Linked DNA regions of Elephas maximus indicus. The protein of the gene in region 4 interacts with the protein of the main gene of each other region in a biochemical or structural test. Links are inferred from orthologs where the notes say so. Each region holds a gene or a part of one and is shown on either strand. Other genes may lie near its edges. The genes, in order: APPL1, CHML, RBSN and RAB5A.

Region 1 (7,068 bases), on a different chromosome or scaffold from region 4:
ATGATGGGATCTTTTGCAGAATGGTGTGGTCTGGGCTAGCTAATTCTAAAGATGCTTACAGTCAATCAGCTGGACTTGGACTTGCAAATTTCCCCTATTTTAATAATTCCCCCTAGTTACTGTAAATCAGAACTAAAAAGGGATAACTGTAATTCAGGATATTCTTCCGTGACTCCTAGGCTTTAATTTTTTTACATATCAATTGGCAGGCTATTTTTTATTATGATCAAATGATCTAATAAAAATTCATCTGTTGTATCAAGGGCTTTAAAAGTTTTCATACTCTTGGTTAGTCTGCTTCTTGGACTCTATCCTAAGCAGCCCGAAGTAAAAACAAAAAAATCTACGACCAAAGACATTAATCTCAGCCCTATTTATAGAAGCAAAACTTCGGAAAAGTCCTAAAAGTCCAACAATGGGACAATTGTTGAGTCTGTCAGGGAAATGTGCAGCCTTTAATTTTTTTAATTCAGAATGTAAAAGTATGGGAAGATACTTAAGCTATAATGTTAAATAAAGCAAGACAAAGGTTATATACAATATCTCAATTGCATTAAAACATATAGGAGGAAAAAGACAAGAATAAAGAAAGCAAACTGTTAACAGGGTTTGCTGCTGGGTGTATGATAGGTATGTGCATGTGTGTATGTATTATTTTTTGTACCTTCCAGGTTTTCTGAAGCAAATAATTATTATTTTTATAATCAGGAACAAAAACATTCACTATAATGAGGCTTAGAGAAGCTGAGTAACTTGCCTTAAAGCAGAAGGTACTAAGTAGTAACGAGGACTAGAACCATGGCTCCTGATCCCAGACCCAGGGCTTTCCATCCTGTCCATCTCTTTCTAAGAATTACCTCCAAGTATCTTCTCTTCCCAAATCCCAGTTGTTTCAACTAATTGTCCCAAATAAATACAACCTAGTTCAAGTTTGTTGCTTTTAGAAATTAAAAGAATATCGATTGGCCTATTTCATTAAAAATTACTGTAGAACTTATAGTAATATGATGTGTGCTTTTAAAAAACTTAAGCTCAAGTTGTAAACTAATTGTGTGAAAAGTTCAAGAAATTAATCAGTCAAGAGATTATTTCCTCCTCACACACCATGGCTAGGGCACTATGCAACCATTCTGAGCTGTGTAATCTTTACCGGCTTTTAAAAAAAAAAGCACCAGGTAAGGTAAGAAAGGTCAGGCTATCTGTTGATTATTAAGTAGGAAAAAATAAAATGACTAGGTGCACCTGACCAATACAGCCCACAAAATTTTTGCAGATTACCTGAAATATAGCTTATAACTTTATACTAAAACCAAAGAAAACCTGTAGCCGTCGAGTTGATTCCGGCTCATAGCGACTCTATACAACAGAGTAGAACTGCCCCATAGGGCTTCCAAGGAGTGGCTGGTGGATTTGAACTGCAAACCTTTTGGTTAGCAGCCTAATGCTTAACCACTGCACCACCAGGGCTAACTTTATACTAGGAGAGTCAGGAAAAAAAGAATGTGAACTATTATGGCAGTCAAGATAATCCAAGATTTGGCTTTCTCTCTGTCAGTACAGGCTGACAAGAGTATATTACAAGACAACTGGTCTGTGAAGATAACTTTCAGAACAAAAAAAATCCACAATCAGAGCCCAATTTCAACTTGGCAATTAAAATTGGCACAAACTTCAGGGTAGAAGTACCCAGGATGGGGAATCTAGCCCTTTCCTCCCATTTTTCTTTTGGAGTCATATTAAACATGAAACACGTGCAACTGTACTTCAAAGTGAATTATATTTCAGAAAATTTTCTTCATTGTAAGTGGTGCTCAGCCAGCAGTATCATCTTAAAATCGCTTCAATTACCGTGTAAAAGACAGGCTTCAAAAACCAAACCAAACCTGTTACCCCCGACTCGATTCTGACTCATAGCGACCCAGAGGAGAGAGTTTCCAAGGAGCACCTGGTGGATTTGAACTGCCGACCTTTTGGTCAGCAGCCGCAGCTCTTAACCACTACACCAGCGTTTCCAAAACACAGGGTCAGGGATGCAGTTCATCCATGCAAGTTACAGCGCCCACCAATCTTCCCCCCCCCGCCCCCCGCCCCCCGCCTAAAAACAGCTGTGTACATTCTTGAGTACTGAAAAAGGATCGAATGGCTACGTTTTCCTACAACGTCTTCGGCTAGGAAAACAACGCCCTAAACTCCGAAGGCAGCGCCTGTATTTCGAGGAGTTTATTAGGACCAAGTCTGCCCCGCGCGGCGCGGCGGCCGTGGGTCCGCGAAGACGGGGCACCACATCCCGCGCAGTGCCACCTCCAGCGCCGGCGGCCACGACACCGGGCACGCTCGGCCGGGAGGTGCGGGCGCAGGCTCCGCGGCCCACGACGGGCTTCGCCGACGACTCCCCACGGGCAAACTGACAGCCTTTCAGCATCTCCCGAAGAAAAACTGCATTTCCTTTTCTCGCACGCCGAGCCTCAGAAACCAAACGCTCCCGGGCTGTCTCCCCTTCTGCCTTTTCTCCGAGAAGGCTTTCCGGGGACAGCGTGCAGAGTCTGGGCTTACCACTTCCCATCACGCCGCTAGAAACGCACCTACTGCCAAACCCTGGGAGGCTGGCGCGCGGACGTGACCGCCGGGCCCACGCGCGAAGCGGCGGCGGCTCGGGCTCGGCCGGCGGCTGTCCCCAACCCCGCGCGCAGCCTCGGCGCAGCCGCGCAGGCCCACGCCGGCCTCGGGCGGCAGGCCCAGCTCGGCGGCTCGGGCGCGGCCCACGACGGGCTCCGCGGGCGGGGGCACTGGGCGGCGGCGCCCACCTGGGCCGGGTGGGCACCTGCGGCGACGGCGGCGCCAGGCCCGGGCTCGGCCAGGCCCGCTCCTCCCCTCGCCGCCCGCGCTCACCTGCGGGCTGTCCTCCAGCGTCTCCTCGATGGGCAGCTTGTCGATCCCCGGCATCGTGGCGGAGGGAGGGCGACGGCAGGAGACGCGCGACCGCCCACAGCTCCCCACGCCCGCCCGCCCGCAGCAGCCGACCCCGGCCCGCCCTCCCTGCTAGGCGCCGCCGCTGTCGCCGCCCCGCGCCACCCTCGCCAGGCCCCCAGCGGCCTCGCGGGAAATCCCGCCCCTAGGCCCCGCTGCTCCGCCTCCCCGTGCACCCATTGGCTGACGGCGACGTCCGTCGGCGCTGGGGGGCTGGCCGCGAGCTTCCTTGGCTGCGTCGGGCCGCGCGGCTGGTGCGGGCCCCGAAGGCGGGGCGGCGGGCGGGCGCTCGGGGAGGGCCGGTCTGCGCGCGCGCTTGGGTGCGACTCGTAGGCGACGTGGGAACGCCGGCAACTGGAGCGTCGAGGGAGGACCACACTGGGGAGTGTGGGGCGGTGTCGCTTCTCACGCAACTTTTGTCGTCAGGGACCTTTGAAAAAGCTCGACCGCTGGGCCTTTCTTTCGTTTCCTCAAATTACACCCATGTCCGAAGCTTCCAGCCTTCCCCCTGCCGCAAAATGGTGCTGGCTGACTCAGCTCTGTGAGGTCCCGAGTGTGTCACAGGGCTTTCGGGTAAATTTGTGGAGATTGACTCCAGATAATTTTCTAGGTATTTAAATATCAGTATACTCAGTTCAAAACAGGTGACTTGGTTGCCGGCTTCGCCGGTTCTTACCTGGCCTTGAACTGACGCGCAGCAACTTTGACTTAGGTTTGTCTTTTAAATCACAAATACAAGATCTTTAAAAATCACAGTACACTAGCTTATTATTTGGTAACTGATTAGCATTTCTGTCAGATTGAAAAAGTCAGAACAGACTTTAAACAGCTTCTTTAGCCTCTGAATTTACAAGCAGAGAAAAAAGTGCAGCTCAAAGAAGTTGGGGATTTAACCAGATCAAAACTAGAAGCCGGCCTACCTCCTGTCTCTTCGTCCCTCTGCCCCATCCTCACACTTCTCATGTGTTTCTGTGTAGAGTTTTAAAAAGTTTTCATCAGTATGCAGAGAAAATGGTAAAATCACCAGAGTCTTGTGAAAATGTAGCCATTAAATCCCTCAATCTATTCCAGTTTCAGTTAAACAGAAGAGATGCCAGGTAAAGGTTGTTAGCTGCTTGTTTACACACATACATTGGAACAAATCCATACAGTAACAGGAATAGAAATCACATATTTTAAACTAAAATACTCGGTTTCCTCATGATCTCTTGAAGGAAAGATAAAATGAGGTTAAGAAAGTTTTGCCAGGTAGACTTGGGATATAGTTTCAAAGAATTAGTCTTAGTTTTATAAGCTTGAAATGAGAACTAGCCCCTTAGATTGTTTATCTGTACACGAGTCACCCTCTAGAAGAGATCTTTAGTTTTTGAGAAAGATGGTTTGGAGTCAATTCTTAACGTTTTTGAACAACAGCATTCACAGCTGCATAGATGTACCCAGCCATCATGCAGACCCCAGCAACCCAGCTCTGCCCTCAATGAATATTTCTGATGCTGTCAGCACAAGCACCGTGAAACTGACTCTAAAAAGGAAGACTCTCAAGGTAAGTGACCTTCTGGGTTGAACTGCAATTTAGATTATAAGTGAAGTAGAAGAAAGGTAGTGAAAATCAATAAGTGAAAATGTCTGAGAAAGAAGAGTAATTATATGGTGTAACTGAAGGGAAGTTAGCCAGTTAACTCAGCCAAGCCAAATAATTCTAGTGAAAAATTCAATTAGGTATCTGAGTTATCTGGGTGGGGTATTGTCATCAAGTTAAATGGTTTCTTTTTTTGTATGTCCAGCTAAATTCTTTTTTGTAAAGGGTTCTCAAGAGGCTATTTCATTGTCAGAGAGGGGCAAGGAATTCTTGCCAGGCTCAACTGGCTAAAAAATGAAACAAACAAAAACAGATTGACATTCAATTGAGTGGAGATGAGGTTTAGTTGAATTTTAAAAGTAGAAAGAATCTTAAAAGGCCTTCCAGTTGAATCCTCCAGCTTTAGGCCACTTAACCCCCTGCTCATCCAAAAAGATGGTTGTGCTTCCTGTTTTAAAACATCTCTAAGGGTGTAGAATCTACAGTCTCCTTTGATAACTAGTTTAAGTTAAATCAGCCTAAATTTTCTGTAGTTATCCAAACTCAGTTCATTTTAAGCCCATTTCCTTTTATACAGGAAATGAGGCTTGTTCAGAGAGTGCTTTGGAGGTTACTGGAGACTCGTGTGTGGGTAGCGCAGTAAAGACTTGGTCCAGCTGTTTCATTTTATGGAAGGCAAGGCAGGATTAAACGGCATCCACCAAAGAATTCATTGAGACGTTTCACACCTATAATTTACAACAAAAGGACGTATAATCTTGTAAATAGACTTGTGAATTATTAGCCTCCTAAAATTATGTTTTGCCTTCTTATAATTAGATTTTTACGTGGTACTCCTCGAAGTTCTGGTTTGTGGTCTGCAGTAGGAAAGAATCCAACAACTCAAATGATGCTGGTGCTTTACTTTTAAAAGTCATCCCTCTAAGCCAGTGGTTTCCAAACTTAAATGCACACATAAAAGTCATCTGGGGAGGTTGTTAGAATGCAGATTCCCAAATCCTGCTGCAAGATTATAATTCATTAGGTTAGAGATGGGACTGCGAACCCGGGTTTTAAACCCCAGATCTCCACATGAGTCTGAAGTAGGTAATCCTCAAACCACATGTTGAAAAACTCTGCCCAAGACACCCTTTCCCATATAACTTTGCATTTTAGAAAATTTGGGGAGTCAAGTAAACATTTAGAAATGGAATTCTAGGTTCCAATTGAAGATGGTGATGGGGCACCATTTCCAGAATCATCTGGAGACCCTGGGAAGCCTCATACTCACAAATATCCCCCCGAAGACTCCACCAATCTGAAATTCTGGGGATTCATGCTCCATTTAGGAGCATACTGTATGATGCAAATAATTCTAGATGTTACCCAAGTAAATCACTTCTTACTGGGACTCACTTTAACAGATAATTGTTTTCTTCTTGATATCCAGCTGAGATGAACCAAATTCAGGGAATGGGTATATTAATTTTTAATTTGAGAGCTTGAGTCACTTCTGTTCCTTTAAAACATTAGAATCAGTGGTAAAGTAGGTAAAAGCTTTGAGTAGTTGAAGGCAGGACTCCAAACCAGTTAGAACTGGCTCAGTCATGGCTGACAAGCAAAACTGGAATAGACCTGAATTTTTTTAAATTTGAATGATCCAGAACCATAACCAGAAAGGGAAAAATTATGGGTTGAGGCCCTGGAATGGGAGATTTGGAAGAGGCATAGTGAGCCCTTTCAAGAGCCTGATGCAGAAAGAAAGGGTTATTTCCAGGACTGTGGAGAGTGAGTGACACACTTTAAATGCGCTGCAGTTGGCAGCCATCTTTGAGCAGGGCATTGCTGTTTCTGACTCTGCGCAAAATCCCGTGGGCAAGAGATTTGGTTGCTGTGCAACACCATAAGCTGCCCTTGTTTTATAAGACGGAGAATAAGTTTCTAGCAGGGCTTCATCTCGTAATTTTTCCTGTCCCAGTTATGGTTCTGGTTCACTCAAATTTTAAAAATTCCAGTGTGTTCTGGTGTTGCTTCCTTAGCCGTGATTGAACCGGGAAGAACAGGTTCAAAACCCTGTTTGAAGGGTAGAAGAAAAGTTCTGAGGAGTGGGTTGCAAGAAGAGGTGGGAAGGTAGCAAAAACCAACTGACTGTTCTTGGGCCACCCTCTGGCTTTGACCTTGACGTTGATACTGCTTTTGCTCATTGCTGCAGCGTTGTTAGAATGTAGGGAAAATTCTGTACTTCTACTTCGTGGACTGTAAAAAGAAAAAAGCCTTATTTCTAGGATAATTGTGTATGGGTTTGTTTCTTTTATGGTTGTCTTGATTCCTTTTTGGAACAAGAAGACATTAGTAAATTAATTTCTTTGATCAGGGGAAGTACTTGGAAACAAAGCAGCATGGTTTCCACTTCTGTGATGAAAATGGGGAGGTGGATGAGACCAGGGGCCTGGGCTCCGGGCTTTAAATTCTGGCTCCACTAACTTTGTGACTTTACTCAAATTGCGTACCTCTCTGTGTCTCCATTCTGGCATCTGAAAAAC
Region 2 (6,855 bases), on a different chromosome or scaffold from region 4:
CATTGCTGTCAAGTCATTCCTACTCATAGCAACCCTACAGGACAGAGAACTGCCCCATGGGGTTTCCAAAGAATGGCTGGTGGATTTAAACTGCGATGGCTTTAATCCCAGGTTAAACATGCCTCAGTCAATTTCTTAGGAATTTCAGTACAGCCACTGTGAAGTATCTTTTCTTGGAGCATTGCTGCCCCCCTTTGTGGCCTGAGTTACTTGCTGGAAGTTCTTTTGAGTTGGCCTCATCTACTGAACTTCAAGTTAGAGCAGGGCTCTGCAGAGATTTTCTGAAGTATTAAACCAGAACTAATCTTATCCTCTAACTTTTTTCTCAAATGAAACTCTGAAAAATAAGCTCTTCAACTAGTAAATTCTGACTCTTTCTGTAATATGGAACTAACTCAGTTGGTTACCAAGGTCAAGCTGCTGAATTATACCATAAAATGTATTTTAAACATCAGCCCTTCACAAAGAATAAAGAATCATGCAAGGCTATTTGCTTAACAATTACAGACAAATGTATTTTATCATATTGGCACTTGGATTGGTTGCTATTACCATCGCCACACTACGTGTCCATAATACACATAAAAAGACTCACATAATTTATTTTTGTGTGGTTCACTGTTCGAATATCTCCAAGAAAGCAGATGTGGTAGGAAATGCAATCGTTGCAAAAGTATTTGAAATATTCCTTAGGGATTATTAATTGCTCTGTAGATAATGATAAAATCTGAAGATCACTGGATACAATATTACCTTCCTTTAAGCAGAGTTCCGAATATGGAACGCTCATATATATATGCAATACCAAAAATAAAGCTAACACTATTTAAGTTTATGGATCTTGGGGTCCATTCTTAAACAAAAGAAGTCCAATAAGCAATGAATCAGCTACCGATAAACAAAGACATCCAATGACTGAATGTCTGTCTCATAGAGAGTTAAAGACAACATCTAGCACTGCATTTATCATATAACCACTTCTATTTATTCATATGGAAACTGTCCTTGAAATGAGAATATTCTGACGCCAATGCAGAATTTCCAGTTTTGCCTGTTCTAATTTTGAAGCAGCTTCCCTGGACTTTCTAGGGTTTTGCTTTCTTCAGAGGATTCTGGTTCAGCCATTATTGTCTTATTGGTTCCAGGAGCCTCTGGTTGCCTATCATCACCATCAAAGACAATGTCTTCTGGATTTGGAGGTGGGGGGCAGAATTCTTCACTTGGAAAGATCTCATGGAAAAGTGTTTCAGCTTGCTTGACAGCATGCTCACTTCCCAGACCAGAGTCAGGCCCAGAACAGACATAAACGTTGGAAGGCAAGCCATTATATGAGCTTCTGCTGATTCCTGAGGAATCTCTCATATTAAAATAAAGAGCCCACAAGAGTCTTGGCTTTTCAAGCGCTTCCTTGTCTACTTCCGTTTCAGCATATGGGGTGAATAACTTCTTCACCACTGATTCTAAATCTTCTCTTGCTGTTTTAGAAGATGAACACGTCAAATGCACCAGATAGGTGTCTTTCATGCATGTCATGGTTGAAGAACATAATTCAATGACCCGAACAGCACAGGTCCCTGCTTCTACTGGAGGCACTATCAAAACAGAAATCTGCTGGTCTGAATCTGTCTTCAGTATAGATTGGTCTGTAATGAGCACTGCCCTAGAGATCTGCTTATACTGCACATGTGCACATGTTTCCTCAGAAAGGTAGCTATCCTCCACAATAAAATACTTGGCATTTATCCTTTGGCCAAAGTGATCTATAACTGCTTTACATCTCCCAGATTCTTTGTCAACTATAAGGCAGTGTACCTTATGCCGAAGACAATAGATTCCGCCAAAGACTGCACACATCCTGCAGAAACACTGGGGAATTTCTCCTTGGCCGTATAAGGGAAATAAGAAGGGAGTGTTGCCGAACCGTCCAAGACACTGAAGGAAGTTTTTTGTTGCTTTAAGGCCATCTATCGTAGTGCAAGATGACTCTGATGTCATTGCAATTGAGTGCAGTACAAAATGTTGGAGATTTGGAGTTAATTTTTTAGTTTTTAAGTACTCTGAAAATGAGCATTGCTTGAAAGCTTCGTATTCATCAGGATGTTGCTCATAGTCAACGCAAAACGTGAGAAATTTCATGAGCATCCTCTTTTCAACCATAGTGAGTTCTTTGCTATTGAAGACATCTGCTCTGGAACAAGGCACTTGTTCAACTTTTCCTTCCCAAAATGCAAGAATCCTTGTGACATTTTTAAATTCTGCATATCGACTGACATTTGATTTGATTAAAAGGTCAATCAGCAATCCTTGAGAATACAGCAGCTTTGATACCAAATCAATATTAAACCTCCTGCCTTCTTTAACTATCTGAGAGTAAGTAATCCTGTTTCTTGTTGGCTGGTCTGTGTTGCCTTCTCCTGCAGGTTTGTTTTCATCTTTGTCTGCATCTGAAACCGCGTGAGCACGAGCTCTGTCTCCACCATCGTTTCCTTTCTCCGGGGGTTCCTTGACGTCATTTACATCTAGCGAAATCTCTCCATCACTTTTTGAAGTGTCTTGGGCAGGCCTTTCATAGCTAGGAATGTGTACTAAGTGCTCGTCTTCGCCCAAGCATGCAGAATCCAGAGTTTCAGTGAGGGTACTAGATGCCACTGAGCAAGGATTTTTCTGCAAAGCACCAACCTCTTCAACACTGTCATCCAAATCTTGACTGGCATAACAAAAAACTTCCACGTGTTGAATGGTTTCATCTTTCTTGCGAAGAGTAATGGCTTCTTCTGTTTCATGGATCAGGCCTTGCCATGCAGCTGTACTTTCTTCCCCATCAACACAGTTTTCCTGATATTCCTTCAACCAGGATAGCAATCCTGAAAAGCTGAAGCTAGCCCAGTTCCCTCCATAGTAACTTCTGGAGTCAACATGCAGAACCCTCTGGCCACTTCTTGAACTTGCAGCTGCAAGGATGGATTCAGGCAAACCTGTCCCTATTATAACCACATCAAACTCTGTGGGGAGACTGTCTGCCATCCTGGGAGGTAATGTGTCTGGTGACAACTGCCGATGAAGGAAATGCGTACAACTCTAGGATGAGGGCTCAGCCGAGGTGTGACTATGCTGAAATAGAGTCTCTCCTTGTGATGTTCCAGTTCATCCCAGAGGCATCAAGGTTGCAGGTCCTAGCTGTTTAATGATTACCCTTTTTAAATATATATATATATATATTTTCTTATAGGTCAGTAGCATGAAAACATGATAAAGTACATCTAATCATTCTGAGAATACTAAAAGTGATGTGTGGTTTTCATTTCTGTATTTCATCTTAGCAGTGAATGTCAAAATGCATCACATATGCATTTGTGACTGGAACTCTTCTCTGAAAGAAGAAAATTCAAAAAAGAATACAATTGTAAACAACATAAAAGTAATTTCATGCAACACCAATTACAGTCTGATGGGGCCTCACTTGTTATCTGGATAGAAACCTCAGCTAAATCAAGTCATTAAATGCTTTCTCACATAGTTTCTAATTTCCTGAAAATGAACAATGGAGATATACTCTCGCAAATCACTTAGTTTGATAACGAAAAATGGACATAATAATGTCTGACAAAAATAAAGAAGAATTAGCATAATAAAATTCTGTAAGTTTTACTTTCAATAAAACTACATACAACTATGAGTTTAGACTCTAAGAAATGTGTGATGCCATTGTATTTCTGGGAATAGATTATAGGCTATGTGAATACTGTCATGATTAGGGGTATTTCCAAGGCCAATATAGTTGGTCATTCTAGAGGTGTTGACCAGAATACCTTTCCAGACCCCAACCACCCATAGGATCTTATGGTAGTCACATGAAAGTATGACTATTATGACTGAATTAATCAGCCGGTTATTAATAAAAGATGAATCTGTAAATCGGTAAAGCAACCGGCATTTAAAAATACTTAGGTGCATAAACGAATAGGCCTACCGGGAAAGATATTTATTTGTAACAATTTTTTTACGTGAATGTACATACGCACATATATGTTCTGTAGAACATTCCCGGGTTCATATGTTAGAATATCTTAACATAAATAACTTACATCTACTTCTAACATTTGAATAGGATGATTTCGTATTTTGCTAGACTTCTACAACTCTGAATCTCTGTATCCCAAGAAATACTTGCTGTCTAAACATCCTCTGCCAAGACTAACGTGTTTTTTTGATGTTTTTGGTTTTGAGGGGGTGGGAGGTGGTAGTGATTAAAGTCTTCTGTGAACTTCCAGCATACTCCATGTGCAGAACACCCGTGTGGCACTAGGTGTGGCCAGCTGTGGAGCAGCCATGGGCTAAAGGGCATTCTCACCTAGAAGTCTACAGTAAAGCACGACCTCCCCACACCTATGCACGAGGGCTGCCCTCTACACACTCTGCTGCTAGAGGGGTCTTTCTATCATTCATTACACAGTGAGTAAGAGTGACAGTGCTTTGAATTCTGATCTCCCTTTCTGCTTAACCTACTAGAATCTGCATCAGTACAAGTTAGGCCTACCTACGCTGTCTAGTCAAAGCCTCTGCCTCATTCCCTGAGAAACCAGGAACTGCACACAGAACGAGGTGTTTGCCTGGCCTATACATGTATATATATGTACGTATGGCTGAGTTATTTATTCTGCCTTCTTCCAGCAGGTGTGAAGAGAGTGACAGATTCCACGAGGGTACGTGAAGAAGTGTGATCCTAGCACAGGCTTATCCTTAGCTTAGCAGGGGATAGTTAGGAGCTGAGGGTGGAAGTCAGTATAGAGAGAGGACAGAAGCCACAAGTGCTAAAAGAAAGCACCTCTTAAGCTACAAATATCAAAGGAGTCATCAAAATACATAGCTAGACGAGACCTTAGAGAACATTTAGCTCAACTACTCCATAACAGAGATGAGAAAACTGACCCCTGGAGAGTTTAATCGACCTGGGAAAATGTACACAGTTCATCAGCCATAGACTCAAGAGCGGAATGCACCCTCATGCCATCAGCCACTATATTTTCCCACTATATCAGGCAGCCTCCTCAAATGCCTCTGGGGGCTGAGGACAGGGTGTAGCCACTGCAGCTTTTTTTTTCCCCCCTCCCTCTTCAGTACTCCATGGCTAGTTGCTTTTTGCTCAAGAATAATACCTGGGGAAGCATGCTGCCTTCTTCATGTTTAACCCTAATCTAGAAGCATCATCCTTAGAATTTACTCCAAAGAAATCTGAATCGTTACTAAGAACTTTTCAAGCTCCATCATAACCCCACTCCTGACCTGTCTCCAAGGGTTTAAACAGGTCTCTGGACCTCTTACCTCTGAGTCCCCACCTCTAATTCAAAAGCAGGAATAAAGTCATGGTTGAAAACACTGACCAAATGCCCAGAAAAACAGAGCAGTCCTGAGGTAAAAGACTGCACGATGAGTGTTTCTAGCATTCTTTGAAAATCGCTTCTGATTGGGATGGGCCTTGGGCAGGGAAGGTGAAGGAGGAGAGAAGAAAAAGGAGACAGGAGACAGGAGGGTGGTGTAGGCAGAGGAAAGAGGTTGAGGAGAGGGTCCACGTTGGCAGTAATAAAGAACTCAATACACCATTGCTTTCAAACTACCTTCCAGGCAGATTAAGGTAGAAATAGAATTTCCCAGCACAGAAAAGGTACTTTGTGGAAATAAGAGATTTCACATCTATGACCAAACACCTGTTGTCCATCCTAGGGGGCATTATTTTTGACACTTGGCCTTGAATCACCCTCTTTAAAGCTTAGCCCTGACTTTAAAAAAAAAAAAAGCCTAATAGGTATTTTTATTAATATAAAGAATTTAATCACATAGCCATCTGTATCATCACCTACATACACTTAAAGCCCCCTCCCCAAGTTTCAAATCTTTGTACACATGAAAGTCTCAGATGAACGCTTACTGGGGAGTGGGGAGAGAATGGTATTAGAATTACTGAGATAATTAAATTAATGGAGTGATGATTCCTACGACATTTTCTTGTTTGCTTCAAAATATCAAAAAATGAACCATTAGCAAACATCATATTTGGGTTTGTCACAGCATAAGAAATCGGTGAGCAAAATATTTTTGATGATTATTACAAAGATTTTGTTCTCCGAAACCTGCTAAGATAAAAAAGCAGTCATAAATTATCAATAGATTTCTGGACAGAAAAGGAATTTTAACACCTGAAAAATATACATTTCTATCTCAAATCATTGTTCAAATAAAACTGCCAGAAAAAAAAAGGGCACCCCAAAATAATTTATTTCCCAAGCTTAGAAAATCATGTCTTCCAACGAAATGCTGGGTTGATCATCCTTAAAATGTCAGTTTCTGTGAGATTTAATTCTTCCATGGGGATTAGAAGAGATAAACTGTAGAGATAAATTTTCAATTAACAATCAAGTCGTTCTGCTTTAATGAAATCTACTGTTTGCACAGCTATTTGTTCATCTGAGTTGGGATTCTCACCTTAGATTTTGGTGTCATGGAACCTATAAGGAGGAAAATATAGTAAAAAACAGCTGATAGGACACATGCTAATTTGCATTCCTGAATGAAACTGTGTCACTTCCTAGGAAGCATTCAAAGGTTTACAACTGCTAAGGTGCAAAAGAAAAAAAAAAATTACACATTGCTATTATTTTAGGTTTCCACCTCTCATTTTAGGAATAAGAAAAAAAAATGTGTATGAATTAAGTTTCTTCCCGTTACCCTTCCCCCAACTTTCACGAGTTAGTCACTTTTTTCCTTGAATCTCCCGATTCTACTTTCCTCGTCTCTTTCCTCAAAGTGCAAAAGCCGTCGTTAGTGCCCTGTTGAATTATTGTAGGAGGTAAAAGCAGA
Region 3 (7,525 bases), on a different chromosome or scaffold from region 4:
ACTAACTGATTTGATTATTATATTCTGGTAGCAACACGGAAGCTGATGAAAACCATCCCATGTGCCTCTTACTTTTAATTTGTCCTCTGACGTCACGATCTTCTCCTGAATGCTCTTCCTCGTAATGTGACTGAAGCTGATAGAAAGATTGCAGGTCCTTCAGGCACAGAGGGCAGAGGAAACCCTCCCTCACGTCCCCTGGGTCATCCAGGGAAGCCATGGCAGTGCCCTCTCAACCCCCACAAGGCACCAGCCTCATGCCAAAAGTCAGCTTGATTCCTCCACAAGGGGCCAGGGCTCCTGCGGCATTAGCTTAACGAAACAGCACACTGATGACGGGAAAGTGGCATCGCGGCCCTGGATGAGGTTTCCTCTCTGGAGTAGTAAGAGCCCTGAGAAAGGAAAGAAGAAGAGGGAAAAAACCCAATTCAGACAAATTAGCAGCAATTGAAAATCCTCTTTGTCTTTTCACAATTCAACAAAGGTTCTTAATGTTTGGTCACTGCAAGTTTAAGAAAGCAAACTACTTTTTCAAGTCCTTAGAACAAAAACACAAAGTCGTCTAAGATTTTGAGAATGTCACTGGACAACGGAAACTCACTGAAGCAGGAAGAAGAGAGTCTTGAGGACCAGAAAGGAAAATTCAACTTCAAAAGCAAACACAACACCAAGGCAATTCTTTTCACATTATTCCAAATGGTCCAACTTCATAATCTGATGCCACCGTGGCCGCTGAAGAAATTTCTGAAGTATTCATCACCAAGTAGTAGTTTTTATTTGACTCTCTTTACCTGGATCATTTATTCAACTGCATATATTGGGTTTTTGCTACCTGCAAAGCATCTGAGCCAGGAATGCAAAGACGAAAAAGACAGAGTGCCTGCCCTAAAAAACAAACAAAAAACCAGACCAAAACAAACCAAACACACACACACACAAAAAAAAAACCCATCTCAGTCAAAGCAGGAGCATTACAAAACCTAGTGTAATGAAAAGAACAATCTGTTTTGCGTTTTATATTTATAGAGCACTGTCTCACCAATGAGCTTACTAGATTTTATAAATCAGTTAGTGGCAGTTGAACAGCAGGCCCAATGTTCTCACTGCTTCAAAAACAAAAGGATTTCAGGACTTAATAAGTTACATTTTCTGGCTCATTGGGTCATGGCAAAGTCACTTCCAAGGTCGCCTAAGAAAGACTCCCAGCCATAGGAAGAATCCAGATAAAAACATTCCACGAAAGCAGAAATTTCTCCTCAGGGGAACTCTAGCCACACCTAGCTGTGACCCTCAGCTCTGGATGAACTTGTTCAGAGGGCCATTGAAGAGGGACTTTCTTGGCCCCAAACCTGAAGAGTGGCAGTGACCCAGAAACTAATCAACTGGAGACCCCAGGTCCCAGTTTTTTTCCTCTAGCTAAGAAATACTGGGGTTCAGTGGTAGAATTCTCACCTTCCATGCAGGAGGCCCAGATCTGATTCCCGGCTGATGTACCCCATGTGCAGCCACCACCCATCTGTCAGCGGAGCCTTGCATGTTATGATGCTAAATGGGTTTCAGGGGTGCTTCCAGACTAAGATGGACTGGGAGAAAAGGCCTGACCTGATTCCAAAAATAAGCCAATGAAAACCCAGTGGATCACAACAGTCCAGCCCACAGCTGATCATGGGGATGGCACAGGATCAGGCAGCAGTTCCTTCTGTTGTGCAAGTGGTTGCCATGAGTCAGGGGCCACCTCCATGGCAGCTAACAACAAACAACAACCAGCTTAACGACTACACACACGCAATTCCCAGCTCCTTTTCTAGATGGTCACGGAAACTGTAGCCCCAGGTCTGATCTGTTCTCTCTCCAGACAATGGTCCATCTGACATTCTGACTCTGAGAGCCCACTTCCTTCCCCTGCACTCACCCATAACCACCACAAATCAAATACTAACCACCACCGCCCCCACAGGCTCCCTCAGACTCACCCTTCACATCCCAGCCCAAACCCCACTTCCTCAAGGAAGCCTTCTCTGACTGGAGGCACACCCTCCATCTGATAGCACCTGTACTTCTTCACAACACTCATCTCAATTTATAATCACACGTACGTATGTAAAGTGACTAAATACACAAGACTGTAAGCTCTATGAGGGCAGAAACTACGTCTGTTTTCCCAACCATCATATCTCCAGGGTTTGGCACAGTGCCTGGCACACACATAGTCAAAACGCAGTAAGCCCGTGAATGAATGAAGGAACCCCAAAATCATATAGCCAAACACACACCACCTAACTGGACCCCACAACCATAACTGAATACATATGCAAGCTCCAAAACCCCAAATCGCACAAGAAATAAAAATAAAATCCACATATCCTACAACTACGCGTCCTACTTGAATGCTATCCTACCACATGCCTCACAGACTACACCTCCCGCAGCCGCGCTCACCACAGCCTCAAGACCGCATACAGCACTGGCCCACATAACACATCACGATTATGCACACGTCGTATAACCACAGACTGTTGGAAAAACCCAACCCCCATGGAGCACAGACATGACAACTCCACACGCCGCAGACACAACACAAACACTACAAACAACCCCACACAAACTCTGAGCACGAACGCTTCAACCTCACACAACCAGAGAACTGAACACAAGCATTCAGGAGACAGCCACCCGCTTCTCAGCCGCATAACCAAACACCAACCGTACGCTCCCCGCATAACCACACAGAGCCCAATCACTACAAGCACACACAAGCGAAACGCACAACCCAAAAGCCGCATCTCCCAGCACGTATGTCACACACACCGCACGCCCGCACGGCCGGCCTGTCTCGGTTGCCGAGTGGCGCCACGCCTCCGCCCTCCAGGCTCGACCTGGCTTCTGCAACCGGTCGGGGTTCCGCGGCCGCGCAGACCTGTCAGGTCCTCCCGCCGGGGCTGTGGGCCTTCACAGCCCCTTACACCATTGCAGCCGCCATCGCCATCCTCGGCTCGGTGCTCGGCAGGCGCGCCTGCGGAGGCGGTGCCAAAACCGGAAGGCAGGCTGGCAGACGCCCGTAGAGCGCCGAGTCTTCGAGGGCGTGAAGGGGCGGGAACGTACTCCACCCGCCCGAAGAGGACCGGCGGGCTATGTGTAGGTGCCTTAAGAACGGCGGGTAGCTCAGTGGTTAAAACCATCGACCCGAAATGTCGTTGGTTGGAAACCACCAGCGGCTCTCGCGGGAGAAAGACGTGGCAGTCAGCTTCATAGAGATTTACAGGCTTGGAAACCCTGTGGGGTCGCTATGAGTCAGAAGCCACTGGATGGTTTTTTGTGTTTGGATAATTCCTTTGTAAGGATCCTGGGTGGTGCAGTGGTTCAAGTGCTCGGCTGTTAATCGAAAGGTGGGCAGTTGGAACCCACCAGTGGCTCTGCAGGGTGGGGGAAGATGTGGCAGTCTGCTTTCTTTAAGATTACAGACTAGGAAACCCTATGAGGCAGTTCTCTGTCCTATAGGGTCGCTATGAGTCGAATTGACTTGACAGCAATGGATTGGGTTTTTTATAGTTCATTGTGCCAGTGAATGAGTCAGCAGAGGGGGTCTTTAACGCCTTCTACCCCCACTCCCAATTGCAGTTCTAAATTAATTCGAGAGTCAAAGTCCTTGAGAGCTAGAGTTGGAAGACTTGAGGAAAGCCGAGGATGTGGGAAAACTCGGAATAGAACCACATAAGTGTGTGCGCTTGGAATGAGAAGGCGTATCCAGTGGACGTACAATATGTTCAAATCTGTGACATTTCAAAAAACAGGATGGATTATTCAGCACTAACCACAAAGTATATAGAGACAAAACCTAATTCCAGTGCTGGTGAGACACTGGGCTTAGCAGTGGCCTGGGCTTCAGAAGCAAGAGCTGCAGAGCATGATGGCTTGGGCCTTGGAGTTCCAGATCCCTGGTCTTCCTTGACCCCTTTGATCCTTAGTATTACCATCTGTAAAATGGGGATAATAGTCTCCACCTCATAAGGTTTTTATGAGGATTAAATGAGGGGCGGTTGTTGTTGTTGTTAGCTACCACCGAGATGGCCCCCTACTCATGGCAATAGGTTGTGGAGCCATGCTTACAGGTGGGAATATCATTGCGGTCAGAGGATGAACCTTGTATTAAACCATCATGCGTTCGCCTGGCATTTTATCATCCACAAAAACCAGTATCACATTCACCCTTTGGTTTGCTCGAAAAAGCCATGGCAATGTGACCTGCAGCTTGTGAATTAATGCTAGAATCATGATGGCTCTGCCACTGATGTTCCAATTGTTTTTTCCTTCTAAATTTTAGTTAATTTTGTTGCTGTTGAGAATATACACAGCAAAACATACACCAATTCAACAGTTTCTACATGTACAATTTAATGACATTGATTGCGACCATTCTCACCCTCCTTTTCTAAGATGTTCCTACCTCATTAACCTAAACTCACTACCCTCTGAGGTTCCTATCTAATCTTTCAAGTTGCTGTTGTCAATTTGATCCCATAGAGATAATTCTTAAAAGAACATAATGCTCAAGACAGACCTTTTTTTACTAGTTATCTGAACTGTGTTTTGAAGATGACTCACTGATGTTCTATTGATATTTTCAAAAATGATGGTAACAAAGACCTTCCTGTGTGCTTCACAGTTTATAAAAAGCACTTCCACATTCAATACATTAGTTAATCCTTCCAACTACTCTTTTTCCCATTTCTAAAATAACAATAATAATGACTGACATTTACTGAGTGATTAGCACATGCCAGGCACTGTTCTGTGTGTTTTACATACCATTTAATTCTCATACAACCCTATGAGGTACAAATTAATATCCCTCCCATTTTTACAGATGAAGAATCTGAGGCCCAGAGAGGCTAGGTGATTTGCCAAAGGTCACACAGCTTGTAAATGTTGAACCCAGAGTCATCTTGCCTCGAGGCCTTCAAACCCCGCCCCTCCTTGGGGTCCAGACCTGAACACTGAAAATTCTTGCATCTCTCATCATTTCCCAGGCACCAACCATGTACCAAGCAAAGAGAGAGAGAGTGAGAGGAGGCAGGGCAGTCTCCCTGGAGGAGGCTCAGCCATCAGGGGGACACAGACACATTCAAAAAGAGTTTGCACATGTGTGCAGGAGCTCCGGCATCAGAGAAGAGGTTAATTATTCCCTCTGTGAAAATCCAGGGCAGGTTTCCAGGGAGGCAACATAGGAGCAGAACCCTCAGGTAGAGAGGGTTGGGAAAGGCCTTCCAGGAGGCGGGGTGGGGAGGGGCATACGCAAAGGCATGGTTGTGGGGAAGAACAGGAGTCCTTTGAAAACCTAGGAAAGTTTGTTCACACCTAGAATGATAATGTGAAGGCACTGGCTCTGGTTCCCAAAACCAGGGCTTCAAACCAGTTTAGTCATGGTCAATGAAGCAAAACTAGAACAGACTCAAAGTTTTAAACTTGGGTGATCTGGAATGATAATTGAAATGGGAAAAATTACAGGTTGAACTCCTGGAATGGGAGACTCAGAAGAGATGTAGTGAGCCCTTTCAGGAGCCTGATGCGTGAGATTGGATTACTGGCAGGAAGGCAGAGAGTGACACACATTCCAAGCTGTGAAGTCAACTGCCATCTTTGAGCAGGGCACCGCTGTTTCCGGCTCAGCTCAAAATCCAATGGGCAAGACAACTGATAGCTATGCAATGAGTATGCTGCCCCTGTTTCCTAAGGGGGAGATTAAGTTTCCAGCAGGGCTTTGACCTGTAATTCTCCCTGTTCCAGGTATCATTCCAGTTCACCCAAATTTTAAAAATTCAAGGGAAAGATTAGTCCAAAGGACTAATGGACCATAACTGCCACAGCCTGCACCAGACTGAGTCCAGCACAGCTAGATGGTGCCCAGCTACCACGACAGCCTTTCTGACAGGGATCACAATAGAGGGTCCTGGACAGATTGGGAGAAAAATGTGGAACAAAATTCTAACTCACAAAAAAAAAAAACTGAGTTACTGGCCTGACAGAGGCTGGAGAAACCCCGAGAGTATGGCCCCAGATGCCTTTTTAACTCAGTATCTAAGTCACTCCTGAGGTTCACCCTTCAGCCAAGGATTAGACAGGCCCATAAAACAAAACATACACCAGCCCAGGGGCAAGGACAAGGAGGCAGGAGGGGACAGGAAAGCTGGTAACGGGAAACCTAAGGTCGAGAAGGGGAGAGTGTTGACATGTCGTGGTGTTGGCAACGAATGTCGCAAAATGATATGTGTATTAATTGTTTAATAAGAAACTAATTTGCTTTGTAAACCTTCATCTAAAGTAGAATAAAAAAATTTTTTTTTTGTTTTTGATTCAGGTCTCTTCCTGTTTTGCTTCCTCGGCCATGACTGAACTGGTTGGAAGCCCTGCCCGAAACCACAGGCCACAGGGAGCTGACTCTAATGGCGGGATCACCGGCAGCTGGACCTCTTCACCTCCCCTTGTACCTTAGAGCTCTATGTCTCTCTCTGGTCCCTTATTGTCTATATATGTTTATCCTGAGTAGCACAAGGCACTTGGCATCCCATCAAAATCCCTGATAGGAAGGGAAATCATGATGTGGACATCAGGGGAAGGTGTGTGGCACATGACGTAATGCCCCAAAGGTCTCGCTCCCCCGTACTGGCCCAAGTTCCAGATCCCAGGCCTCTGCCAGCTGCTGCTGTGGCCCAGAGCAGACCACGGGGAGGCAGGGCCTTGTCTGAAGAATGGGTAGAGGGTGCCAGGCTAGGCTGTGAATAGGGGAGCAGGTGGTAGCTGCTTCTGCCAGGAAAGACACAGAGAAAGGAGGAAATAAGACATGGAGTAAGGAGGGAGGTAGCAAGGTATGGTGGATAGAAGCACAGACATTGGAGGCAGCCACCCTGGGTTTGGATCCCAGCTCTGCCACTTGTAGCTGTGTGGCTCCAAGCAGATCACTCAAATTCTCTGAGCTTCAGTTTCCCGTAAAATGCAATAATAATAGTCGCTGTTCCTAGGGTGGAGGATTAAATGAGTTGCTACTAGTCTCCTAAGGCTGTGGTAACAAAGTACCACAAAGTGGGTGGTTTTCAACAACAGAAACTTGTTGTCTCCTGGTTCTGGAGACCAGAAGTCCAAAATCAAGGTGTCAGCTGGGCCATTCTCTTCTGAAAGCTCTAGGGAAGAATCCTTCCTTGCTGCTTCTACCCTCTGGAGGTTGCCAGCAGTCCTTGGCATTTCCTGGTTTGTGGCAGCGTAACCCCAACCTCTGCCTCCATTTTCACATGCCTTTCTTCCCTGTGTGTCTGTCTGCTTCTGGGTCTCTTCTCTTACAAGGATAATAGTCACTGGATTTAGGGCCCACCCTAATCCCCTGATGACCTCATCTTAATTTAACCAATCACATCCGCAAAGACTATTTCCAAAAAAGGTCACATTCTGAGATTCTGGGAAGGACTTGAGTTTTAGGGGGAAACTCTTGAACCCCGTAGAAAGCTAATGTTTGGAAAGTGCTAGAACAGCACCA
Region 4 (7,312 bases):
GCTGTGACAAAGCTGAGTTTCAAACCCAGGCAACTCCAGAGGTGGCTCGGGGTTCACATTGTAGAGCTAGAGGACTTGAGTTAAAATAGTTTTGAGAACTAGCTTGGAAATCTCTGAAAACAGATCCTGGCACTCCAAAAGAGCTCAAAATATGTTAATTTTGAAAGCCTCTGTTAAATGGTGCATGTTTTTCATTAATTTGGAGTAACATATTTTAAGGCCCCAGGTTTGTGTGTCTAGTGGCTAAGAGACTTAAAACTGTTTTCTCATCTGCTCAAGAACATCATACGAAAAAAACGTTAACAGTGGTTCTCTTTGTGGTGGGATTAGTGTTTTATTTACTATACTTTTCTACAGTGTCATTAACGATAAATCTCATTATTTTCTATTAAACAACACATTTGAAAAAATTAACCTGGGTGGTAAGTTTCCACGTCTTCTCTTATCATTATCTAATGTCAACTTTCGATCTCAAAAAGAATAAGTAAATATTTGAAGAATCCATTCCATTTTTTCAATCTAATCAGAAAGCTATCGTAACAGTTTTCTCCCATCTTTAATCAAGATCTGACTGCGTGCTTGCCAATAAAATATACGAAACCTGAAGATGAATCTCTCCCTAAAAAGTTCTTTTCTATTTTATTTAGTCACCCCATATAGAAAATTTGCTTTTCCATAAAACTTGTGTTTATATAAGGAACATTTTTGATAATGAAATCATTAATAAACATAGCCAGGAGGATCAAGACAATAAAATCACCTATCCAACAGCTCTGAAGAGCTCTTACCTTTATCAATACTGTATCTTTTTCTTTAACCAGCACTAAAATATTTACAGATGAAATGATATGCTGTCTGAGAGTTGCTTTCAAACAATGGGGGCATAAATAAACCAAGTTGGCCATAACACAACTGAGGCTGGTGATGGGTTCATTATACTATTCTCCCTACTTTTGAATATTTTAAAAATTTTTCATAATTAAAAAAAAAAATGTTCTACCTTAAACACATTAGACTGAGGGTCAAATCTCGGTTATACCGACTCCTGCCTAGGTTCTTTAATTTCTGTAAAACGTAATGTGTAGAGCTGTTGTGAAAATTAAATGAGACGACACATGAAATGAATCTCTAACACAATGCCCAAAACACAGTAGGGCCTGAAAACTGGCAATTCAAGTGGCCATCTGAAGAGAAGATTAAATGTCCTTCAGACTGAAAATGAACCAACACACCTTGAAATAATATTACACACAACAGCAGCTGAAACATTCTCCAATTGTTTGTTACATGTTATCTACAAAACAGCAAACAATTAGTTATCAAGGACAACATGCTAGGATTTTGATGGTATTTCTAAAATTTCGGGGAAAACATCAGATTCCCGTGAAAACCGAGAATCTGATCTAGCTTTGCCTTGCAAGGGTTAAAGTTACTGGGTTATATTTCTCCAAGGGTCTCAAACAGGAAATAGCAAACTAAATCGAATTGCCAACACACAGTTCGCATAACATTAAGGTTAAAAAATACTTTATGTGCATTCATTTGTATTCACTACTTGCTGGAACTTTCGTCTGTACGGCAAAACAAGGATTTTGCATAATAACGTATTTTTAAACCTTTTGAAAATAACCAGTACTCTATAACTAAAGTCCTTCTAGGTGCTCTTTGATCAAATTTTTACTAATAACAGCTAACATACTGGGCACTTCTTTTGTCCAGGCACTGTTCTATGTACTTTAACCACGACAACCCGATGAGCTCATATTATTTATCCCCATTTTAAAGTTTCTGAACCGTCCTGAATATTCCCATAAGTGTTTTTTTCTTTATTACGAGAAAAGCAACTAACTCAACACTTAGGCTCCACTTAAGCAAAACACAAAAGCCAAATAGATGGATTATGATGTTCTCAGCTTAACGAGTCTAAAAGTCACGGGCGGGGGGAGGTGGAGGGGTAACGAGTTTCCAGGGAAAAAAACACCCGAGCAGACTTCACGGTCTCTATTTGCCGAGGGGGTCCAGAGGTCTGGTTATCTTGAGTTTCTTTAAAACTGTGGATTACCATCCTCCATGGATGACACACGACTCTCTAGACAGCCTATTTTGAAAAGCCTCCCCACCCCACCTCCACGATCACCCGTCTTTGGAAGTAGAAGGTAGGCGGAGCTCCCCCCAGTTCACACCTGCCGTAGGCCCCGGCTCCTCCTAGTAGTGTACCCCAGTAGTTGCTGGCCAACTCCAGATCGCCGGGATACGCAAGACCAGCAAGGCCCCTTGGCAATCTTTCGCAGCTTCCTCCCGAGAACCCAGCCTGGCTTTGCCCGGGACCCCCAAGACGGCCACGGCAGGCGCCAGGCGGAGCCGCGGCCTCCAGTACTCTTCCCACGTCGCCATCTTGAGAAGGGAGAGGGTGACACCCGTCCCTCCCACAGCCAGTCCCCAAATCCCGGTCAGTAAAGCCCCCTGACGGATGAGTCACCAGGGCCGACTGGACCGGCCACCGGGTTCGACGACGCTCTGGCCCACAGCAACGGCACGCGTGAGGAGTAAGGGCGGGGGCTCGCTGCCGGCAGGGGTGCAGGCAGGCTGGGGGCCGCGGGTAACCTGGGGTCTGGGCCCCATCTGGCAGGGGGAGGGGCCGGTTGGGTTACCTGCGACCGCAGCGCGCGGGGTTGCGGGGCCAAAGCTTCCCGGCAGCAGATCCCAAGCCCGAAGGATGAAACTGAGGCTGAGGCTGTGGCTTAGGCGGCGGCAGCGTCTCCTCCTTGCGCCGCTCCCCTCAGACTGGACGGTGCTGGGCTCGTGCCGCTGGTGCCGCCCCCGTCGGACTCCGTCTCCGCCTCTCCCCGCTCCGCCTTCCTCTTTCCTTTCTCCTCCTCCGTCGCCGCCGGCGCTCTGGGTCCGACCACTTCTTCCTCCTCCTCCCTCCTCCGCCTCCTCCCCTTAGGCCGGCCGCCGGCTTCTTCACAAACCAAAACACAAACACTCAAGTCCCAGCGCGGGAGCCACTTCCGCCAACCCCGCCGCCACGTCGCTGCACGTAGCGAACTACGCCCTTTCGTCACTTCCTGTCGTAGCCAGTCCGACCGCTCTATCCACTTCCCCGCCCCCTCTCAGGCCCCGCCCACCCCGGGAGCACGTTCGCGGGATGGGCGTGTCACGTGATGCCCGCGAGCGGCCGGGTCGGGTCGGGCTGCCTGCTGCCCTGCCCCATCACAGGCGCGCGCGGCCCCGCCCTCGCTGGCGCCTTTGTTATCAGAGCCCGGGGCCCTGGGGCTCCCGGCGTGGGCGGAGCATACTCGCTACTGCCTGGTTTGGGGGTAAGACCTGAAGAGCTAAATTTGTTACTCCGAGCCCTTTTGGGCGGCGAGGTTCCCTCTGGGAATATTAGCTCACAGCCCCCCTCTCCCCACACCGGAACACCTCAATCTTGGGCAACTAGGCTAAGGGGCTTTTTGCTCTACTGCCCCCCATGTCACGTGCTTTCCAGGAATTATCCCATTTCTTAAACTCCTAGGTATTCATTTTGAAACTAACGTGTTTCTCCTTTGGCTTCCTACATTAAAATAGTAACCCCCAGAGTGGCCCTCAACGCTGTAAACCTGGTGTCTAGCCCAGTGCCTGGAACCCACTTATCTTCAGTCATGGTTATGGAATGAATGAATGAGGCGTGCCTGCTTTACAGGTAAAGAATTTGAGGCATAGAGATTGAGTAACTTGTCCAAAGTAACTGCCTAGTTAGTGATGAAATTGTTTTTCTAACCTACTTTTTTTTTTTTTTTACTAGCTGGCTCCAGGACCCGAGTTCTTAAACAGACATTCCACTGAAAGCCAGCTCAAGACTTTGATTACCCTCTACAGCAGACCTACTGAAGGCATACTTCTTCAGTAAAATCCCACACAATAGATAGTCTCTGCAAGACACCTGTATCCAAACAAAATCCTTTTAGCAATTCAGAGGAAGAATGTTAAATTGATTTTCCCTCAGAATGAGGACCATTTTTCAGTTTACAATTTATAGCCTGTTGAAGGGACATGATATTGTCTTTGAAGTATATCAGAGCAAGGCATCCTGTGGGTACTCTGCCAACATAATGCAGTAGAAATGATCTGAACCCTTAAGCACGCATTCATTCAGATCAACTGCCCAATAACTAACCAGAAGAGCGTAACGTGTCATACCTAAATGGTATCTGTGGCACTTTATCCTCGAGGGGTTGTTCCAATATAATATTAGTCATGGTAATACCTCTTGGACAATCCCAGGAAGAATAAGGAAAGAGGATACCTCACATTAGTTTTGGCACGTAAATAGCACGTCCAAAAAAAAAAAAAACCCCAGAACAGACAACCAAAGCTATTCTGCTCAAACCTGCTTCTGCTTTGTGACTGGTGTTAACAGGTTCTCAGTCCCCCCCTCTCTTGAAACTAAAGAATCATCAATTCTTCCTTCTCTTCTTCATAAACCATTGTCCACTCTGTTGCTAAAAATTCTCTAGTCTCAAAATTTGAGCTATAATCCCAAAGCCAGAGCCCTGGCAGTGCAGTGGCTTAAAAGCTCGGCTGCCAGCCAAAAGGTCAGCAGTTCAAATCCACTAGCCACTCCTTGGAAGCCCTATCGGGGCAGTTCTCCTGTAGGGTTGCTATGAATAGGAATTGACTCGATGGGCAACGGTTTGTGTTTTTTTAATCCCAAAGCCTGGGCCATGGTAGTATTCATAAAAGCTAGAATTAATGCACGTTCTTGCCTTTTGAAGGAGCCCTGGTGGCACAATGGTTAAATGCTCGGCTGCTAACTGAAAGGTTGGTGCTTTGACCCCACCAGCCGCTCAGCAGGAGAAAAGACCTGGCTGTCTGCTCCCGTGAGGATTACAGTGTAGGAAGCCCTATGGAGCAGTTGTGTTCTGCCATATAGAGTCACTCTGAGTCAGAATCAACTAGATGGCAGAAACAGCTTGCCTTTTTAATCTACTCTTCACACTTTAGCCACTCTCCTCTTCAAAAATGTTCAATGATATCTCATTGCTTAATAGAGTCCAAAATTCTTTAGCTCTAGTCCCAACTCACCTTCTTACATCCCCTAACCACCCTATGCTCCTCCATGCTAACCGGAAAAGCATGATGCGTCATACCTACATGTTCCCATCTTGGCATCTTACTTTGTTCTCTCCACCTGAACACCATTACCTGGCCCATCGTTGCCAGGCTCACCTCAGTTGGGATGCCAACTTCTAGACAGCGTCTATGTATACTTCTCCCAGATTTAATTATCGTTTTCTTTCCTCTGTGGTTTCCCAGTACTTTGCTTTACTCTCTATAATGGTTCTTCTAACATCCTGCCTCAGAAAGTTCCTAGACTTTTCTCCTCAGCCCTTCAGTCTTCTTAGGATTACAAAGTTCAGTTTCTCACAGAGCTTAAGAGGATCTTCACTATGATACCCAAACCCAAACTCATTGCTGCCAAATAGATTCCGATTCATAGCCACCCTATAGGATGGAATAGAACTGCCCCATGAGATTTCCAAGGCTGTTTTTTTAATCATTACAGAAGGAACCCTGGTGGTGCAGTGGTTAAAGCGCTTGGCTGCTAACCAGAAGGTCAGCGATTTGAACCCAGTAGCCACTCTGTGGGAGAAAGATTTGGCAGTCTGCTTCTGTAAAGATTTACAGTCTTAGAAACCCTGTGGGGCAGTTCTACTCTGCCCTGTAGGGTCGATATGAGTTAGAATTGACTGAGTGACAGTGAGTTTGGTTTTTGGAATCTTTACAAAACCAGAGTGCCACATCTGTCTCCCACAGAGTGATGGGTGAGTTTGAACCATCAACCATTCAATTAACAGCCAAGCTCTTAATCATTGTGCCACCATGGCTCCTTACCCTTGGGTTACACATGTTGCTGTTGAGTCAATTCTGACTCATAGCGACCCTATAGGACAGAGTAGAACTGCCCCATAGGGTTTCCAGGGAGCACCTGGTAGATTCGAGCTGCCGACCTATTGGTTAGCAGTGGAACTCTTAAACACAATTGCTTTGCAAACTGCTTGAATCACTGAGGAGCTGTTCCAGGTATTCATGTTCCCTGGATCCAAATTAGTTCCTTTCATGTTGCAGGTTTTCAACAAACATTGGTTGAATGAATAATTGCACAACAGGAGGTTACTCCTAACTTGCTGTTGGATATTGAGTAGCTTTTTTTTTTTAAAGCGAACTGAAGAAATGATAAAGTAAAAGAGCTGAACAGAAGATTTCAAAGGACTTCTCAAGAAGATGAAGTAAAGTATTATAGTGAAATCTGCAAAGACCTGGAGTTAGAAAACCAAAAAGGAAGAACATGCTTGGCATTTTTTAAGCTGAAAGAACTGAAGAAAAAAATTTGAGCTTGGAGTTGCAATAATGAAGGATTCTGTGGGGAAAATTTCCAGAGGTAGCATATGCTCAAGAGCTGATGGTACTGAAGGAGGAAGTCCAAGCTGCATTGAAGGGAATGAGAAAAAAACAACGGTCCAGGAATTGACAGACTACCAAGTAAGATGTTTCAACAAATGGTTGCAACACTGGAGGTACTCACTCATTTGTATCAAGAAATTTGGAAGACAGCTTCCTGGTCAACTAACTGGAAGAGATCCATATTTGTGCCCATTACAAAAAAAGGTGCTCCAATAGAAGGCGGAAATTATCAAACAATATCATTAATATCACACACACACAAGAAAAACAAAAACCTGTTGCTGTCGAGTCGATTACAACTCATAGTGACCCTATAGGACAGAGTAGAACTGTCCCATAGGGTTTCCAAAGAGCAGCTGGTGGATTCAAACTACTGACCTTTTGGTTAGCAGCTGAAAGCTTAACGACTGCGCCACCAGGGAACTTGGGTGGCACAGGGGTTAAAGTGATTATCTCTGCAAACCGACAAGTCAACGGTTAGAAACCACCAGCAGCTCTGCAGGAGAAAGATGTGGCAGTCTGCTTTCGTAGAGATTTACAGCCTTGGAAACCTTATGGAATTGCTACGAGTCAGAATCGACTCAACAGCAGGGTGGAGATGGGGGGGCGGGGAATAATATCACACAGAAGTAAAATTTTGCTGAAGATCTTTCAAAAGCAATCGCAACAGTACATCGACAGGGAACTGTCAGAAGTTCAAGCCGGATTCTGAAGAGGGCATGGAACGCAGGGTGTCATTGCTGGTGTCAGGTGGATCTTGACTGAAAGGAGAGAATACCAGAAAGCTGTTTACCTGTGTTTTGTTGACTATGCAAAGGCATTCGACTGTATGGATCATAACAAATTATGGATAACACTGTGAAGA

Evidence for each region.
Region 1: the proteins of RAB5A (region 4) and APPL1 form a complex in vitro, tested with the Homo sapiens proteins (2 studies listed by BioGRID and IntAct, with this or other methods). The link is inferred for Elephas maximus indicus from reciprocal best matches to the Homo sapiens genes RAB5A and APPL1.
Region 2: the proteins of RAB5A (region 4) and CHML form a complex in vitro, tested with the Homo sapiens proteins (2 studies listed by BioGRID). The link is inferred for Elephas maximus indicus from reciprocal best matches to the Homo sapiens genes RAB5A and CHML.
Region 3: the proteins of RAB5A (region 4) and RBSN form a complex in vitro, tested with the Homo sapiens proteins (3 studies listed by BioGRID, with this or other methods). The link is inferred for Elephas maximus indicus from reciprocal best matches to the Homo sapiens genes RAB5A and RBSN.

Annotation. Positions count from the first base shown.
Region 1 is NC_064838.1:61,882,791-61,889,858, reverse strand, and holds the start of APPL1 (DCC-interacting protein 13-alpha), read right to left. Parts: upstream 3,012-7,068; 5' UTR 2,944-3,011; coding exon 2,890-2,943; intron 1-2,889. Other genes in the region: HESX1 (homeobox expressed in ES cells 1), read left to right, coding at 4,343-4,510. UniProt on the Homo sapiens protein: Multifunctional adapter protein that binds to various membrane receptors, nuclear factors and signaling proteins to regulate many processes, such as cell proliferation, immune response, endosomal trafficking and cell metabolism.
Region 2 is NC_064842.1:22,516,028-22,522,882, reverse strand, and holds the start of CHML (rab proteins geranylgeranyltransferase component A 2), read right to left. Parts: upstream 3,025-6,855; coding exon 1,057-3,024; 3' UTR 1-1,056. UniProt on the Homo sapiens protein: Substrate-binding subunit (component A) of the Rab geranylgeranyltransferase (GGTase) complex. Binds unprenylated Rab proteins and presents the substrate peptide to the catalytic component B.
Region 3 is NC_064838.1:38,698,004-38,705,528, reverse strand, and holds the start of RBSN (rabenosyn-5), read right to left. Parts: upstream 3,008-7,525; 5' UTR 2,918-3,007; exon of another isoform or gene 2,809-2,917; intron 393-2,808; 5' UTR 221-392; coding exon 73-220; intron 1-72. UniProt on the Homo sapiens protein: Rab4/Rab5 effector protein acting in early endocytic membrane fusion and membrane trafficking of recycling endosomes. Required for endosome fusion either homotypically or with clathrin coated vesicles.
Region 4 is NC_064845.1:19,813,870-19,821,181, forward strand, and holds the start of RAB5A (ras-related protein Rab-5A), read right to left. Parts: upstream 3,003-7,312; 5' UTR 2,652-3,002; intron 2,547-2,651; exon of another isoform or gene 2,203-2,546; intron 1-2,202. UniProt on the Homo sapiens protein: The small GTPases Rab are key regulators of intracellular membrane trafficking, from the formation of transport vesicles to their fusion with membranes.